Linked DNA regions of Kluyveromyces lactis. The protein of the gene in region 1 purifies or fractionates together with the protein of each later gene. This does not show direct contact. Links are inferred from orthologs where the notes say so. Each region holds a gene or a part of one and is shown on either strand. Other genes may lie near its edges. The genes, in order: KIN28 and SSL1.

The links.
Region 2: the proteins of KIN28 (region 1) and SSL1 purify together in Saccharomyces cerevisiae (affinity purification with mass spectrometry; 3 studies listed by BioGRID, with this or other methods). This does not show direct contact. The link is inferred for Kluyveromyces lactis from reciprocal best matches to the Saccharomyces cerevisiae genes KIN28 and SSL1.

What each region holds. Positions count from the first base shown.
Region 1 is NC_006041.1:1,323,104-1,326,247, reverse strand, and holds KIN28 (TFIIH complex serine/threonine-protein kinase subunit KIN28), read left to right. Parts: upstream 1-1,572; coding exon 1,573-2,505; downstream 2,506-3,144. Other genes in the region: MRF1 (Mrf1p), read right to left, coding at 148-1,338; KLLA0_E14763g (NAD(P)/FAD-dependent oxidoreductase), read right to left, coding at 2,585-3,144. UniProt on the Saccharomyces cerevisiae protein: Catalytic component of the TFIIK complex (KIN28-CCL1 dimer) which is the protein kinase component of transcription factor IIH (TFIIH) and phosphorylates the C-terminal domain of RNA polymerase II during transition from transcription to elongation after preinitiation complex (PIC) formation, thereby positively regulating transcription.
Region 2 is NC_006041.1:850,114-853,729, forward strand, and holds SSL1 (TFIIH/NER complex subunit SSL1), read left to right. Parts: upstream 1-1,473; coding exon 1,474-2,940; downstream 2,941-3,616. Other genes in the region: KLLA0_E09593g (uncharacterized protein), read left to right, coding at 1-1,182. UniProt on the Saccharomyces cerevisiae protein: Component of the general transcription and DNA repair factor IIH (TFIIH) core complex, which is involved in general and transcription-coupled nucleotide excision repair (NER) of damaged DNA and, when complexed to TFIIK, in RNA transcription by RNA polymerase II.

The DNA.
Region 1 (3,144 bases):
TACGTACCCTCGAGTGAGGTTTCACACTAGATTGATGTTCAGGGTGCTTTCTTCTATACATATATGCAACTTTATTTTATACTATTTACAGTGTAAATCCAATTATCATTCCCTGGCGCAGAACGGTGTTTCCAACTGAATATTTGATCAAGCTGACATGTCCTGAAGTAATTGCTTAGCCTTCTGCTCAGAACTAAACGCGTCCATAGCATCAATTACATCATCTAGCCTCTCACCCTTCATGACCCCCTCGATATCATATAGTGTGAAGCCACATCTATGGTCCGTGATTCTATTCTGTGGGTAATTATAAGTTCTGATCTTGTCAGATCTGTCTGTCGTGGAAACTTGATCTTTCCTTGCATTCCTCTCTTTCTCCTCTTTCTCAAGCCTTTCCTTTTCGGCCAACCTTGCTCGTAGGATAGCAAAGGCTTTGGCTTTGTTTCTGTGTTGAGACCTTTCTTCCTGCATTGAAATCACAATGCCTGATGGATAATGTGTCAACCTGACAGCAGAATCTGTAGTGTTGACATGCTGCCCACCTTTACCACTGGCTCTCATGACATCGATACGAATCTCATCTGGCTTGAAAGTCCTCTCGTATGCATCAGATTCACTTTCTTCACCCATTTTGGGTAGCACAATGACGGCCGCAGTGGAAGTATGAGTTCTTCCCTTTGATTCTGTGGCAGGCACTCTTTGAACACGATGAACTCCGGCTTCGAATTTCAATTTATCATAAGAACCTGGTTCATCTATATTCAAGATTGCTTCCAGGACTCCGCTACCGCTTGCGTTCTCAGTTTTTGATATTAGGTTCCATTTCCATTTATGATAATTTGCATAGTTAATGTACATGTTCAACAGATCTTGAGTGAATATCATAGCTTCAGAACCACCGACACCAGGCCTTAGTTCTAATATACTGGGTTTATCTGCAAAAGGATGAGGCGGTAGGAGTTTATTCAATAAAGAGTCCCCTGTCTTGTTCAAATCTGGGAGTAGTGCTGCTATGTCTGCTTCGGCTTCTTCTCGTAATGATGGATCTAATTCCAGTATCTCCTGTAGTTCTTTATACTGATTGACTTCTTCTCTGTATTTGGAATACGAATCCACAATCGTAGATAGTTTGGCAAAATTCTTCTGTTTCTCAAGATCGAAGGATCCACCCTGCGACAACAGGTCCTCTAACTCTCGCAATTCATTGACATACAGCTCTGCTCTTGATATTAGCGATGAGTGCAATGGTCGAAATTCGACGGCTTCAGAACTGTTAAATCTGACTTGAAGAGCCACGTTTCGAAAGAACTTTCCTCTTCCAAACAATTTTGAGATCATTTCCCCAATCGAATGTAGTTTTTAACTCTGAAGATCCGATGGTACTTCGTTTTGATTCACCATACACTTCTTCCTTTACATAGCATAATATGTATCAAACTTTCAAAGATTTTTCATATTTAATATAGAAAGGTCCAAGCTTCTGCCAACATGCAGATAGACATTTGATGTTTAAAGTCATCGTTGGATCTGGGAACTGATTCTGTCATACGGTAGAGCTCGAAGTTATAAACCATGACCCTAAAATCTACTGTTGATGACTATACTAAGGAGAAAAAGGCTGGTGAAGGTACGTATGCCGTGGTTTATTTGGGAACTAAGAAGTCCACTGGAAGGAGTATTGCGGTGAAGGAGATCAAGACCTCACAGTTCAAAGATGGACTTGACATGTCAGCATTACGTGAAGTGAAGTTTCTACAAGAGTTGAAGCATGTGAATGTTATTGAATTAGTAGACGTTTTCATGGCAAACGATAATTTGAATTTAGTGTTGGAGTTTCTACCTGCCGACTTGGAGATCATTATTAAGGACACTTCTATTATGTTCAGTCCAGCAGATATTAAGTCCTGGATTCTAATGACTTTGAGAGGTGTACACCATTGTCATAGAAACTTCATACTTCATAGAGATTTGAAGCCAAATAATTTACTATTAGCACCTGATGGTCAATTGAAAATCGCAGATTTTGGTCTAGCCAGACTAATGGCGTCACCACAGGAGATTTTGACCAGTAACGTTGTTACCAGATGGTACAGAGCACCGGAGCTCTTATTTGGTGCAAAACACTACACCTCTGCGGTCGATATCTGGTCTGTCGGTGTTATATTCGCAGAATTAATGTTGAGAATTCCTTATTTGCCGGGGAAAGATGATGTTGATCAGATAAACGTAACATTCCGTGCGTTAGGAACTCCTACTGATGCGGATTGGCCTGAAGTTTCTAGTTTTAGCAATTATAATAAGATTCAAATATATCCACCTCCATCGAGAGAGGAATTGAGAAGAAGATTCATAGCGGCTACGGAAAATGCACTTGAACTGATAAGTGGGATGATGATAATGAACCCTAAAAAGAGATGGGATGCAGTCAAGTGTCTACAAAGTCAATATTTCCAGGAATTGCCGGAGCCTACACTTCCACAAGATCTTCCTAAGCTCAATAAATGAAAATACCTAGATATATTTTGAATAGAATACGAGGATATGTACGAAAAAAAAGTTCATTATTGCATGTTATCTGTTATTCCTAACCGTGAAGTATCTTCTTCACGTATCTCCCGATTGGGATACTTGACGTTAAACCTGGAGATTCGATACCTAGCAGGTTAACAAACCCCGGGAATCCTTCTTCTTCTTTAATATAGAAATCTTTGAATTCTGTGTCACCTGGTGCTGCTAATTTAGGCCTGATACCGCAGTATGAAGCCTCTAATTCACCTGGTTGCAGATGAGGGAAATATCTTGTGATGGTTTTGGCAGCGTCTTCAATATTCAGCGGGTTTGGGATCAGATCATCCGCAGAGTCAACATATTCAAGATCAGGACCGAATCTCACTTGATGATTTAAATCAATGGTCAAATGAGTTCCCAATGATTTGCCATTTCTGGGAGGCACAGGATAGATCAATCTTCTCACAGCTGGAACTTGAGTCTTCGAAGTGAAATAATTGCCCTTGGCATAATATTGCTTTACCTGACGTTCAGGTGGTAAGATCATATTAGCAATCTTGTCTGCATATAATCCAGCAGCGTTGATAACATTTTCTACACGAATCTCGACTTCTTCTGCAGTACCATTCAGCGTTT
Region 2 (3,616 bases), about 470 kb from region 1:
CGTTCTTTAATTGATATCTGGGAGGTTGAAGGTTTCATGCCGGATGGCAGATCTGGTGACAGATCTGGAAGAACACAAGGGGGTAGCAACTCAGATATCATGTTGGCGGATGCTTTCATTAAGAACGTTCATCAAGGGATCGATTGGGAGAAGGGCTTCCAAGCTATGTATACCAATGCAGAAGTGGAGCCGCCTTACATTGAGGACCCTATGGCTAACGACTCGACAAACAAATTTGGGAGAGGCGCTTTAAAAGAATGGCTTGAATTGGGGTACATAACAAGAAATTACTCAAGAAGTGTCACCAGAACTATGGAGTATTCGTATAACGATTTTGCCCTTTATATCGTTGCCAAAGGTCTCGGTAAAAAAGATTTAGCAAAGACATACCTTGAAAGATCGAAAAACTGGCGTAACATTTGGAACCCAAATGCTAAAAGTGTGAATATACACTATGACTACACCGGATTCGTACAACCTAGGAATTCTGACGGTACGTTTGCTCAACATAGATATGATCCGTTTACATGCTTTGGTTGCTATTGGAGAGACGATGAATATGAAGGAAAACCCGTGGAATATGGGTGGACGGTGCCTTTTGATATGAAGACTTTATTAGAATACATTGGTTCGAAAGCAATGTTTGAAAAACGTTTAGATGATATGTATGCGTTCTGTGGCCATGAGAACGTGGTTGATATTGGCAATGAACCAAGTTTTTTGACACCTTATCTTTACGCGTACATTAACAGACAAGATAAAACGTCAGCATTAGTGGATTGGATCATAAATACAAAGTTTAAGACGGGACCGCGTGGTTTGCCAGGGAATTCTGATGCAGGAGCCATGCAAGCGTGGCTAACCTTTGCCCTTCTAGGTTTTTATCCCGTGGCTGGTACTGATATTTATTTATTAACAAGTCCGAAAGTTAATTATTTGAAACTTAAAAGCATGCCTAACGTTCCAGATATTGAAATTTTTGCACATAACTTATATTCAGAATTTGGTGTCAGAAACAACTTCATTGAGAAAGTTGTTATCAATGACAAAGAACTCGATAAGAACTGGTTTAGACATTCCGAGCTATTCGAACACGGTGGTACCATCGAATACTACATGAGTGAAAAACCATTGGACTGGGATTCAGATAAAGAGTGTCCACCACAAGAATTCAGCGTTTAAGATTCAAGTATAATGGTGTAGTTCGTTAAATAAAATCAGTGATTATTAGGTTTTACATACAACCCTCGCTATTTTGTGTTGAAACTTTTTGATCATATGATCACATGATCAAAATCATGTAAGAAAATTTAGTGAATTTATAACAAGTGAAGCAAGATTTGAAGGTTAAAGAGTAACGCTACACCAATTTGGCTGAATAGACGTAGAGCTCCAGGCATTAGTCGATTTTTTAATTGGACTACATTTGGCTGTACTCTGGTCAAATTTTATTAATCGTTTTTGATTACGATAATGCCTCCTATTATAGATAGTGAATCAGACGATGAACGGATCATTGGAATCACTAACAAGAGACATAGACAAGATGGTCAGACCAAAGTGCTGAAAAACAAAGTGAAGAAGCATGTTAGAACAAAAGAAACTGCAGATTCGGATGGTGCAGGCAATGGGAATTCTAGTGATGATGAAGAGGATGAACGAGTTCATTCACAACTATCAAAGAGAAGTCGTGATCCAAGAAAAATGAAGAAGAAAAAGAAGAAGAAGCTGTCCAACAAGAACTTACAAGGTGTCAATGGTGGTTATGCCTGGGAAGATGACATTCAAAGAAGTTGGGACCTTGTCAAAGTTGATGATGAAGGCAATATCGCTGCTATTGTGGCAAGCATAGTTGAAGCAAGAAAAAAAAGGGCAGCAGAGAAGACGGTTACTCCGTATCAAAGAGGTATTATCAGAACCCTTATCTTGGTATTGGATTGTAGCGAAGCAATGATGGAAAAAGATTTGCGACCTAATAGATATGCAATGACAGTACAATATGCTGTAGACTTTATTCATGAGTATTTTGATCAAAATCCTATTTCTCAAATTGGTGTAGTTGTTATGCGTGATGGTTTAGCTCAGCTAATATCGCAGGTCAGTGGTAACCCTCAAGAACATATCGATGCTTTAAAGATGCTTCGTAGGCAAGAACCAAAGGGGAACGCTTCTTTACAAAATGCTTTAGAGATGGCTAGAGGTCTCTTACTTCATGTTCCAGCGCATTGTACTAGAGAAGTACTCATCGTTTTCGGTGCATTATCAACTACAGATCCAGGTGATATTCATCAAACGATTGGCTCATTGGTACATGAGAATATTAGAGCAAAAGTTATTGGTCTATCTGCTCAAGTCTCCGTTTGCAAAGAGTTGTGTAAGCAGACGAATTATGGAGATAACTCATATTATGGGATTATATTGAACGATCATCATTTTAAGGAACTATTCACAAGTGCAGTGACACCGTTACCGGTGAGCAAAGTGAACAAAGGGTTCACCTTGGTTAAGATGGGATTCCCTACCAGAGTATTTGAGGACACACCATCATTTTGTGCTTGCCATTCGACTCTAGTCCATGGTGGTTACGTCTGTCCCAATTGCAAAACTAAGGTTTGCTCTCTACCGACAGTATGTCCGAGTTGTGATTTGATGTTGATACTCTCAACACATTTAGCAAGATCGTATCATCATTTGATGCCTCTTAAGACTTTCCAAGAAGTCCCAGTGTCAGATAGCTTCCCTACAGACTATTGCTTCGGCTGCCAAAAGCGATTCCCCACCTTAAGAAATAACAAAACAGGCGAACTATTAACAAGCAGCAGGTACAGATGTGAAGAGTGTGATCAAGATTTTTGTATAGATTGTGATGTATTCATTCATGAAACGTTACACAACTGCCCTGGGTGTGAGTCCAAACCAATCAATGTAAATATCAAATGAATTTAACCCGCTAATCATTTTCTCGGTAGTTCCAAGAAGAAAATATCACAAGAACGACTTTTAAACATTGACTCAAATTGTATATAACATTGAATGGTTACTAAAAAAAAGGCACTCACATCCTTTACATCTATTTACAATGTACTCCCCCTGGGTTGGCTGGATACCGCTTTCCCTACAATTGTATAAATCTCATCTCCTAATCATTATCTGCTTGTTTAGTGCATCTCAGATTGTGACAAAATAAAAAGTAACGATTATTTTCAAAATTTTTCAGCTCATCGGAGAAATTGCAAAATGAAACCTCGAATAGAAAAGGCAACAAGATACCAACCGATTTTTCAACGACCTCACAAAAAAAAAATACTGTACTGAATAAACTTCCTGTTACCATCAAGTTTGTGCTATATCTCTAGGACAGGTAGGTTCTTTCAAACTTGAGATTCACAGGGAGTTCAACCGTACGTCTCTTTACATTTGCATTGGCTTCTTACTGTTGATTTTTCCAATCACTTTAGTCTGCTGTCAATCCGGTTTAACTGATTTCACTAATTAAATCGGACTCATCCTCTTCACAATTAAACATTTCTGTTAAGTGGTTGAATATACAGCAGAGATTGTTGCATTATTTTATTTATTTTGATATTTGACATCCTTCCTGAAAGAGTTCATACCA